Linked DNA regions of Drosophila melanogaster. The protein of the gene in region 2 purifies or fractionates together with the protein of the main gene of each other region. This does not show direct contact. Each region holds a gene or a part of one and is shown on either strand. Other genes may lie near its edges.

Region 1 (4,897 bases), on a different chromosome or scaffold from region 2:
GCTGGAACTTCTCGGCGGCCTCCTTGAAGCCCTCTGTGGATTAGCCCTTGATTAGCTGCTTGCTGTGGCTGCGGGCTGGTGACCCGGACTCACCTGTGACCAAGTAGTTCATGATCAGGCGATTCATGTCCGCCTGCTTGAAGGGAAACTGCTCCAGGCGCTGCAGCCACTCCTCCTTGATGATGGCCTCCGATTTCTCGTTGTAGCTCATTTTCTTGCTCTTGCGTATCTTGCCAATCTTGAGGCCGTTTTTCCAACCGATTTGCGTCGAATTCTGTTTACCTAATCGTCTTCCCGCTTTTCCTAGCCCTGTTTATGCGCTTTTATTGTTTACTAACTTGCAATGCACAAATGACGCTGGAAATTTTCTTTTCTTCTGTTCAGCGTGACCAGAGTGCTTTAGCAAGCGCAGCATGGTCACGCTGTTTGATTGCCAAGAGGGCGCGAATTTTGAAATCAAACTATCGAATGAACTATATTTTATTGTTTATTATTATTGTAGCGAAAACACCCTAAATTTGTTATTTAAGCTAGAAGCTGGCTTAAACTACTTTAGTTAAGATATATTAGTGCAATCCCAATCCACTATTCGCCTTTGCGTTCCGAACTGAATATAAAGAGCTGCTCTATTGCTGATCTAACTTTATTGAATACTTTGAATTTGTTTATTTGTCACTTTACAAGTATAAGAGCCGCTAGCGACGCGACCAGGTGCCTACGCCGCCGCCCCCGCCACGGAAGAGGGGCGCCAGCAGGCGCAGTCAGCCTCAGTTCTTTCGGTTGCCACGGCGCCGCATGGAGGCGGTGCACTTGGGGCAGTACCACTTGCCCTTGGGCGGCTGGGTGATGCCCACGCAGGGGTAGTGGAACCACTCGTAGGGACAGGCGTCGTTGTCGCAGGCCACCATGTCGCCGTAGGACACCTGGTTGCAGGTGCAGTAGCGCGGCTCGTTGGGATCGTACGACCATTCGCCCTCGTTCGTCTGCTCCACCACGAGTCCGTTCTCGCCGATGGTCAGGCTGGAGCCGGGCGTTACCGTGGTGGTGGGCAGGTTCATGGCAATCATTCCGGCGGGCACGCCCTCAGCGGAACTCTCCGCCAAGTTGCCTCCGCCTCCACCTCCGGGGGTCATGGCGAGCAGCGCCTGTCCACCCACAGACATGTAGGTTGTCGTGGCCGATGCCGCCGCCAGGGCCGCCGACGTGGTGAGCTTGTTCACCGATTCCAGACTAATCGACGACGACGAGCCAATCGAGTTGCCCGACGAGGAGCCGGCCGTCGGCTGCACTGTGGGCAACGTCAGCGCTGTGGTTAGCTTCTTCTTTTGCTTCTTCTCCTGGTGGTGGCTGCTGTGCCCGCCGCCGTGACCACTGCTGCTGTGGTGTCCGTGCCCATGACCATGCCCATGGCCATGACCATGTCCGTGCCCATGGCCGCCATGGTGCGACTGTGAGTGGTGCGAATGATGCGAGCCGGTGCTACTACCGCCAGCTGCGCCGGTGGCCAACGCTGTGCCGGCAGCCACTGTCACCGATCCAGCGGTCGACTGCTGCAGTCCACCCTGACCGGCTTGGGTCCAGAAGTCGGTGGTGGTGCCCGCTGTTCCGTGTATGGCCTCGTAACTCGCCTTGAGGCTGGCCGTGCGGCGGCCTTGCTGCATCTGCTGTGTGGCCACGATCGCCTGGCTGGCTGCCGCCGCAATGGCACTAGATGCGGCGGCTCCTCCGCCCAGTTGTTGCAGGTTGTAGGTGACTGTGGCCCCGGCGGCCGAGTGCCCACTGACATGGGCGTGCCCGTGGGCCGTACCAGCAGCGACCACGGACGTGGAGTTGCCGCCCGCTGCCGCTGCGGCGGTCGCTCCACCCGAGGTGCTTAGCACGGTGTGGGTAAGGTTCGTGGGCAGTTGGCGGACCAGCGAACCCGTTCCTGTGGCAAGCGAGCTGCTGGCAAGACTGCTACTGCCGCCGGCCACGCCCATGGCCACAGGCAGGGTGAGATGAGTGGCGGCGATGCTGCCAATGTGGTTGGAGACATGAGTTTGGGCAGTCGTCGCGCTGGCCAGGCTGGCGGCTGCTGCGGCCGTTGTGGCGGACGAAGATGAGGCTGCCGCGGCAGTCGTGGAGCCCGAACCGACCACGGGAAGTGAGTGATTCAGATTGGCGCGCTTCTCCTGAACAGGCACCGTGCATATGGTTTCCCGCCGCTTCTCCAGCTTGCGGTGGCGCTGACTTGAGCCCAACTGGGCGGTGGAGATGCTGGAGAGGGCACCGCCCGTTCCGGCAGCACCACTGACCAGTGCAATGCCGGAGGAGCCAGTGGCGGCACCCGTTGCGTGTCCCGTCGAGCTGTTCACCATGGTATTGGCCGAACTGGCGCCGTAGTAGCGGTTCTCCTTCTGGTTCATGCTCAGCAGCAGGGCGGTGGCTGCAGTGGAGTTGCCGTCCAGCTCCAGAGAGCGGCGCTCGAGGATTTCGGTGATGCCGTTGTTGTCCGCCTCCAGCTCGCACTTGAACTTGAAGAGCTCGCTATCCAGGCGGCGCAAGTAGCGCTCCACCAGCTCGTGTATCTGAGTGGCAATAGCCACCTTCTCGTCGGCGTCCTCCATCACCTTGAAGTACTCGCCGCGCAGGCTGTGGAACTCCGTGTCCATCGACTCGTGCTGCAGTTCGTCGCGCTTGCACTGCTTGAAGAACATGTGGGCCTTCTTGTCCAGCGAGTCCATGTTGTCTGTGCACCGCAAGGAGCAGTTATTGGTTAGTGATCCGGCGAAAAGCAGAGATTCGGATTCTCTGGTTGCACTTACTCTGGACGGCGAGATCTAGTTCGCGCATCTCGGTAAAGCGGTCGCGCAGCTCCTGCGGCAGGTGCTCGATCATCTCCAGATAGTCTTCGAGGTAAAGCATGATGGCGATGCGAATGGGCCGCGGTGTAAACCCAAAATTTTAACTACTTTGTGTGTTTATTAATGAAAATTCGTGTATTGTTGCGGGTATGTGTGTGACCGGATGGCGAAACGAAGTTAATCCCAGATGCGGATGGTAGTGCTCGATAATATCGATATTTAAGCAATCGACTCGAAACCGCGATACAAACTCAGGGTGGATAGCTGCGACACAAACCCTGTAAGGTGAAATTCGAAATTTAAATAAATTGTATAAATGGAAATCATAATTAATGATATTATTTATTTACATATTATAAGCTGTATTGTATAAAACTAAAAATGTGAATATATTTCAAAACAAATATATACTCACATTTTTACTGTTCAAAAGTTGTGAACAATAAGGAGTAAGCATTTTAAAGATATAAACAAACAACAGATGCCCATAGGATTGTTTCAAATATATCATTTTATTTCACTTATTGCCTGGCAAATGCGTGTTTACCCGCTTGTTTTTGGGTCTGGGATCGTGGCTCCCGGATGCACATCGTCCACATGCAGCCACTTTCGTTGCCACACGCGTCTCATCGTCATATGTATACTACATGCGTAAATGTAAAAAGCTTAGCTTAAACTTAACGAAAGTATTTAGAGTTAAGGTCGCTCCGTTCGGCTAGATTAACTTATTCGAATGCGAGGGCGCAGGCGCAGGTGCGGGTGCGGGGAATGATCCAAACAAGGTTTGAACGCAGCGGCGCGGAAACAAGTCAAGCTGCTAAATGCATCCAGTTTACTATCTAGCGGAAGGGGCCTCCTTCTAATCGCCAATCTGCCATATCAAATCAGCTACTACGCGGGATCGGGATTTGGGATTGGGTGCGAGATGTGTTCGGGCATCCGAGGTTGGGGCAATACTAAACGTAATCATAATACACACACATCGTAAAATGCTAAATCCTAGTCACACAGCTCACACAGCTACGTACAACACAACACGATTCCAGCATTCCATCATCGCGCCGCCTCCGTGGACGGCCAGCCCTATATGGACATCTCGGGCATCTTGTTGTGCTTGAGGTTGATCTGGACGCTCTGCGAGAACATCTTGATAATGCCGTAGTGGTCGTTGGCGAACACTTTCAGGAAGCTGGGCACGTTCTTGTGGAGCAGCTCGTGGCAGAACTGTGGGTATTTTTGGTAGGCCGGCTGCTTGTCATCCCAAATGGCCAGCAGATCGCAATCGTCGCTGTTGTAGAAAGCAGGCAAAAGTACATATTAATGCGATAAGAATACAATATCTCAATTAAGCGTTCAAGTGCCCGTCTCGAGGATTTTGTCTGCGTCTACTCACCGCACTTCGTTGGTGCACTCGTCCAGCGATATGATCAAGTACTGGATCTTCAGCTGGGCGCACTGGTTGTAGATATCCGACGACTGCTGACGACTGTACACCGAGTACACGTGCTCCGTGCGCTCCCTTAAAAAAGATAAACAAAGGCGGAAGTTTCAGTACGTGCATGGCCAGGATATGGATGCCAATGAGAGCGGGACAGAGCAGGGGCATAGTCGATAGGCTATCTCGCTCAGATTGGGAGAACTTACGCTATCTGACGCATCTCCAGGTGCGCATGGTTGACTATGGGCCGTTTGGTGGTCAAGTGCACGGTGCCGATGATGTCCACGGGGCCGGCAAAGACCGCATCTCGCTCTGTGTTCAGCTTGATCCACTCGAGCATGCTGTCCAGGTCGTCACCGCTCTTGGAGTAGCGCGTGGGGAAGTACTCTTCGCGAATGTTCTATTTTTGAGAGGGCGACGAAATCACAACAATTCCCGTGAGCAATAGAGGCGGTATCCAACTTACCACCATGCCCGGATCGAACATGCTGAGCAGGAAGACGGCCAGCGAGACCGACCAGAAGATGTTGCGCTGGCGATGGTACCACAGTTTGGAGCAGACGGTGGGTGCGATGACGCAGCCCTGCGTGAAGCTGAGGAAGAAGAGCTTGCGCAC
Region 2 (6,940 bases):
ATTTTCTGACCAATCCCTTCAAGCGCAAGGCAACCCAAGCGCCGCTTCAGACCCAAGTGACGTCGTCCTTCAACGATCCCATCGAGCTCTACTGCCTATCGCTGGTGGACACACTGCGCAGCATGCGGAGATCGGAACGGGAGCGGGTCAAGTTCGAGTTCGCCAACATTCTGAAGGACGCCAAGTACAAGGACGAAAGCTAAGGCGTCATAGTCATCATTCTATACGTACAATTCTCGATTAGTATCCTTAGTGGTAGACAACGCACTCGAACACTTCCCACACTCCCCCTTCATTTATGTATTTACATACTTGCAAACAACTTGTAACTCTACGTTTCGAGTCCTAGGCTAAGGTTCTAGGTTAATTTGAGGCGATATGTGTCCATAGTCCATATCTCTTTAGTTGTATCAACATTGAGTCGAATAAAATTATGCACAAAACAAGGTTAGCAGCAAACGAAGTTTCATTGTTCCAAAGAAAAAGTACACATTTGATTTCATTTGCAGCTCAACGCGACATTAAACAATTTATTTTGAAATAATGATAAGAGTAGTGTGTAAAATGTATAAACTGAAGCGTGCGATCTTAAATCGTATACGATGCGATCAGCTTTCACTGTACTCTCGATCGGTTAGTGCAAACTAAAAATCTTCTACCTGCTGAGCTGGGGCCCGCAAAATCCCGCGATACAAAATAAATCTAAATCTTTACTGATTCTTCGAGTCTTTCTACAACAAGAACTGGTTAGTCTATATATCATATATATAGTGCATAAGGCATATACAGATCATTCATATGATTATAGTGGTTATTAATGTGATTATCGTATGAATCAACTAAATGGTTAGACAGAGTAGGTGATGAAAATTAACGTGTCAAGATTTGCATTTAACACTAAAAACGATTTGTTCGCCAATTTAACGGCTGAGCTGCTGCTACTTAATATAAGTTACAACTCGTGACGTGGCGTATTTAAAACCGAACTTTGCGTCTGCATCTGGCGCCTGCTGGCCTCCTGGTCATTGTTGCCATCGTCCGTGTCCAAAATGTCGGACAGATCATACATGGGCTGATAGGAAATCAGTTCAGAGCCACTGGGTGCTGCTTGAATCATCAAATAGTTTAGTCTCAAGCGAAGGAATTAATACTGAATTCCGAACAAACCTTTCTTTTCACTGCTTATGCTGTCATTGGGAAACGATAGGCCATAGTTGTCCATTAGATCAGAGTCGTTAAACAGCTATAAAGTATACAAATAAATCACATTGTTAGTTAGTTCTGCAGGGGAATTTTCAGACATGAAGGCCAGATGTGGACGTTTTGTGCTGACCTTTAAAAGCAGCTCGTCCTCCGGCAACTGAAAATTGGGCGTCCTGCTAAGCGCCTAATCATGTAAATAGAACATAAGTTAAATAATCATCGAGTCGGACAAACGGACAGCTAATACAAGAAATTCTACTCAATGTTGATACTTACACCCATGAGCATGTTCTGATCAATGGCCACCCCATCGCCACGCAGCAGATCCTTCAGTGTTTCCAACTCATCTTGCATGCTTTCCAAGTGCCCGTGGAGTTCGTCACTGCAACAGTAAGAATTAGCCGCTTGATTATGGCTTATCCGACTTGAATTCGTATTCTTCTGGTCTACTAACACTGAGGCCATCCTGAGGAGTTGACTGTTGTTGGTATCGCGGTTGTTTCCGTTCTCAGCGCCACTGTATTTGGCCACAGCCATGCCCTCTTCCTCAGATGCTTGCGCCTTGGCCGCTGCCTTCGATGTCGAGGCCTGATTGGCATCCAGCAGCGTACTGTTGGTGGGCACATCGAAGTTGCTGGCAAACTTGCCGCTGCTCACTGTCGATTGCCCAAATTTTTGTTGCTGGTCCAGTTTGGCTGCCTCTTCCACGCCGTCGGGAAGCAGAGCGTCCTAAAGAGTTAAGAGAAAAGAGTTAGCAACTACCATAAGATGTTTAAAATGTATCTTACTTCAAAAATATCCGTCGGCATATCCTCACTGATGAAGTTAACACTGTACAGATCGTTCGCGGGAGTCATTAGATCCATCAGTCCGGAACTGTTCTCCGGCTCAGACTTTATAATCATTGGCTGGACCATCACATCAGGTTGCGTACTATGCTGGATGCTTGTCCGTTGCGCCTTGGGCGACGAACTATCTACGAGAATATCTCCAGCATCAAGTATAACATCTCCTGCCTGTCGTCGTAGCTTGTTGTTCTCCTTAAGCTGCTGACGCTTCTGCTGCTCCTGCTCCCGCACCATGGGCGTGGTAAGCACATTCTGCTCCTCGTAATAAGGCGGACTGTTTGGCACCTCCTGGACATGAGAATCGGGCGCCTCGGTGACTGTGTAGACATCATGTTGGGCCGGCGATTGACTCACACTTTGGGCCATGGGAGAAGCGGCTCCGCCTACTAGAATATTACCGCCAGCGGTTCCATTTCCCTGGAGCAGCAAGTCCTCCACACTCTGATTCGAATAATCGACGTTGTGCGAGCTAATGCTCATGTTAGATCGCGGACGCTCAACGGCAGGCGGAGAGACGCTCTCTTGGTCATAATGTGAGGCTGCGGTGTAGCCAGCCGGTGATGGATTCATCACCTCATCAAGAAGCTCCTCCCTAAGCTCGTGGATAACCGGTCCGCCGCCACTCTCGCTCTCGGTCTCACTGGTGGTCCGTGCACGATCAATTTCCGGCGTATTGTTGATCATCAGCTGCACGTGGCGTTTCACGCCAGACATGTTGCGCGACGGTTGCACAATGGTAATGAGGAACTGGATCAGTTTGTTGACTATTTGTTGCTGCTTAGCGTGCTTTTGGCGCAGGCTGGCTATCTCGCGCCACAGCACTTCGTTCTCCTGTTTCATGGCGGAGAAGCGCGAATCCAGATTGTCCTGACGACCCCGCATGACTTTCACATCGGTGAGAATCTTCGACATGGCCTCCGGCTTCAGGACACCTTTGTCGTCACCATTTTTGTTGTTCGATATTTTCCTTTTGATTTGGTCAAGTAGAAAAGGCGAGTTGCGCTTAAAAAATGGGTGCGAAAATTCAATCTCGTCGCGATCAAAACGTAGTCCGCCATTGTCAATAGAGGTGATCTTGTGGAATCCATCTGCAAAGCACAAATTTTTTTTAGTTTTCAGTTGATGTTTCAACGATGTTTCATTTACTTACACATATTCAATTGCCTTATGAAGCTGGCCATGTTGTTGTGCTTGTAGTTTAGTGGCAATAGTTCCTTGGCGAATTGCGCTTGATTTTGTATAACGAAACTTTGGCCATCCTGCAAAAATAAAACGAAAAACGGAAGCGATATGAGAGTTGTGCTGATATGTAGTTGCCACAAACCTATTAGCGGTTGGCCGCAAACCAAAACCGATAAGCAACGAAAATAATTAGCTAATTGTAATTATATCTATAGATGCAAAACTATAGTTACGAGCCAAAGCTGGAACTAGTGTTCTTATATAATGTATAAAATGATCGTTTTAAAAAAATTCGTATTTTATAAAATTTGTCAACTTTTTCATTTAAAATTCAAATTTTTGTGAGATTTTTATGCGTGAAACACGCTAAAAATATTGGATTTGAAAATTAGATTATGTTACGCTCATACTCACATATTAATGAGTATATGTTGTCGACAAAAAATGGTAGGCTATGCTTATCAATAAACTCTTCGTTAAGAGTGTGTGGTAACCTAAGTGAGAACCAATTACTCTTATCTTAAATGAAAAGCCAACTGAATGACCAAGGGAAATTATTCGATTGTCAGTTGGAGATGGAAAATTTTCCAGAGTTCACGCACGTACGCATGCAAATGGCAACATCGACAACAACAACAAGATGAGTGTGTGGGGAAGGCAACTTGCATACGTGCGATGCGGCATGGGCAACAACAAAACAGAGAGCGAAACGCTACAAAGAGAGCTTGAGACACCTGCATGGCCAAGTCATTGTTGTTGCCATGCTGATTAGCGGTATGTGGTGGGAGGGGAGTCCCTGGAAAGGTAAATAAACAATATGGCGGCGTAGGCTTACCTTGGTCCAGCAAATCAAGCGATTGGTATCGGCATCGTCCACCAGGCGCCACAATTTGGCCAAAAAGGCCGGCACCCCGCTTCCGATGGCCGCGGCGTCTCCGTAAGAGTGCATTCTCCTGGAAGGCAGCTGCTCCTCCTCGTCTTCTTCCTCTTCCTCCGATTCGTGCTTGAACTGCACGGCTTTAGCGGATGAACGCGACCTGGACATAAAGTGACCAGCAGCCTGGAAAGGAGTACTACTCAATGAATTCACTGCACACCAACACCAACACAAACGCTTTTTTTCCAGTTTACAGTTCACTTTTCCACGCCGCTGTATGTGTGTGTGTTTAAGTGTGTGTATGGGTGCGGGAATCAGTGTGCGTGTCCAGGTACACCATACATATGTAAAATGTACATATGGGTACAATTTTGATGTGAAAGTTGCAGCTCTGATCGAATCGAATGTTTTCGGTTGCAGCCAAGTGCGTCATTCGAGCCACCAACTTGCACAAATGGAGCTCCAGTTCTTCTTCTCCTGCTCAACCTACTTACCTTAACAATTTTGCAGCTCACAAACCTTTCGCGAAGTGAAAAACTCGCGTTTTACTTGTTTAGTTTAGTTATTACACTTCACTTTCTTGGCGTACCGCTTTTGTTTTACACAGTTCTTCGGTTTTTAAGTGCTTTTTCGCGTTTTATTCACAAGTGAAAATTTAATGAAACCTCCGTCAAGTAAAATTGCTTCTGTTCGCAGCGTGACCAATTTGGTAAAAACCTATCGAACTAAAGTTCGCTGCTATATATACCATTGCTAGCTGTCTGCTTGGTCCTCTGGTTTTTATCTAGTATTTTCTGGCGCGCAACTTCGTATTCATATAATTGACCCCAATTACTAGATGATCATTATACTAAAAACTTATCAAATTCTGTTATTTGTTTTTAAAGCTAGTATTGATATGTGTACCCATAACATTAATTGATAGGCAACTGTCGATTTTAATACGGCAGACCAAAGGATAGGGATTTTAGTATTTGGTATTTTCTATTTGATATCTTTAAGATAATTATGAGTTAAAATTAAAATTAGTTGGTTTGATTTTAGATAAGTTGTACATAAAAGCATACAAAGGGCATACTTACTAAAAAAATTAACATTCATTTTGAAATTTCTATAGGATTTACTTTGACAATCAAAAAGTTTTACCTTAATATAAATGTTAGTTTTATTTTTTTTAATTTGATTTAATAATTGTCACTCTACATTTAAAATGTAAATTATGTATGATATTAACGTTTTTGAATCTTTAGGAAATATTTAAATGTATTTTCTAGTATTTTCCAGGACGAGACCGCTGAGTCTTTGCCGGCACAGTGGGGATAATTAAGTAAATTTATGGTATATTTTATACGTTTCGATATATTTAAAAATATAAAAATGTAAAATTGTGGTGACAAATTTCCAATATTTCTTTATTTATTTTAATCAAGTTAATTTTATTACCATAACATACATAAGTTGTGGTAGATTTATATATGAAAATGTAACGAAAAGAACAATTGTTGGATGCGGTCACACTGGTGGGCATATGTTGAAAAATGGCTGACACAAATTAATTTTCAAGTGATTTGTTTTGTGCATTTTCGCTGGTGTTAAAGATGAACTTGGGACAACGACGTTCAAAGCCGATAGCCGAATCAATAAGAGCAAAATGCTAATTTAATGCACGATTCGAAACACACTTAAAGGTGGGTAAATCGGCAACCGAAACTAGAAGTGCCTGTGGTGCGTGTGGAAAAGTACGAATGAGGAAGACACAGAGAATACAAAAGGGCCCGCTCTCCAGTCCGTATGTGTAGCAAAAGTGTGCATGTATGTGTCGGCGGGCAACAACAAATTCGACGAAAAAGGCGCCAGATTAATGAGCTCGTGTTAATCAGCGGGAAACAATCGCAAAATCAATGAAAAAACGGGCCGCGAAAAGCCGGCAAATCGAACTGAAGATCCATATTTTTCACAAAAGACTGCGCACTGGAAAAATCAACGCATCTAGCACGCACACACAGCCGCAATGATGAACAACCATTTTCACTTGCAACACGATCATCCACCGCAGAACGTGGCACATCCGTTCATGCAACAGCCGAGTACCGCTGTCCCATCAGCTCCTCCGGCCACCTACGGCTACTTAGCACAGCCAGCTGGCCAGCAGCCGCAGTGGATGACGACCACCTACCAGATCCTGCCGCCCAGCGTAGGACCTGCCACGGTGGCCAAGCGATACTATGCCACCACTGGGCCGCAGACCACGCATCCCACACATCCCAGCACCATCCAGATCACGAACAGTTTCGCTCAGCAATCAACGCCACCGAAGCAACAGGCGGCAACAAGCTGCAGCCCATTCAAGGCCAACAACATACGAATCATCTCGACGGCGCCAAGTGTATACAGTCTGAATAAGCCGCCACAGGAAGCGCACTCCACATATGCTCCCGTTCAGTCGTACTACTTGCCCAGTGGCGGTGGCCAAACTGCGGGACAAATCAATCTACTGGCGGCCAGCGGAACTGGCAAGCAACTGCAGCCGCCGCCGCTGGTGCCTGTGACCAATTCCACCTCACCGCCCTCCACCGTCGTGTTAGACCGCATAAACATTTGCATCAATAACCACTATACGGAGACGCCCACTTCGCTAAGTTCATCGCTTACCACGGCCCAACAACCTTCGCCCATCATACCGGCCATCCAGCACAAGGCCATCCTGCCCCTCATCGACAGCAGCACGGCGGATAGCAGCAGCTGCAGCAGCAGTTCTGTATCCAGCAGCAGTTATAGTGGTACCGCGACCACCTCAGCAGCAGTTGTGATTGTGGATGAGCCGGATTCT

Evidence for each region.
Region 1: the proteins of Hsf (region 2) and Ing3 purify together in Drosophila melanogaster (affinity purification with western blotting, with the first as the bait; one study listed by BioGRID). This does not show direct contact.

The regions. Positions count from the first base shown.
Region 1 is NC_004354.4:18,650,060-18,654,956, forward strand, and holds Ing3 (inhibitor of growth family, member 3), read right to left. Parts: upstream 3,033-4,897; 5' UTR 2,905-3,032; coding exon 2,805-2,904; intron 2,729-2,804; coding exon 768-2,728; 3' UTR 659-767; downstream 1-658. Other genes in the region: Hou (houki), read right to left, coding at 1-33, 94-211; CG6659 (uncharacterized protein), read right to left, coding at 3,927-4,131, 4,237-4,362, 4,488-4,681, 4,748-4,897.
Region 2 is NT_033778.4:18,129,803-18,136,742, forward strand, and holds Hsf (heat shock factor), read right to left. Parts: upstream 4,833-6,940; 5' UTR 4,605-4,832; intron 4,307-4,604; exon of another isoform or gene 4,294-4,306; 5' UTR 4,279-4,293; coding exon 4,069-4,278; intron 3,311-4,068; coding exon 3,202-3,310; intron 3,140-3,201; coding exon 1,992-3,139; intron 1,933-1,991; coding exon 1,480-1,932; intron 1,388-1,479; coding exon 1,334-1,387; intron 1,244-1,333; coding exon 1,168-1,243; intron 1,105-1,167; coding exon 953-1,104; 3' UTR 501-952; downstream 1-500. Other genes in the region: Dlip3 (dorsal interacting protein 3), read left to right, coding at 1-203; Pcl (polycomblike), read left to right, coding at 6,122-6,940. UniProt on the Drosophila melanogaster protein: DNA-binding protein that specifically binds heat shock promoter elements (HSE) and activates transcription. In higher eukaryotes, HSF is unable to bind to the HSE unless the cells are heat shocked.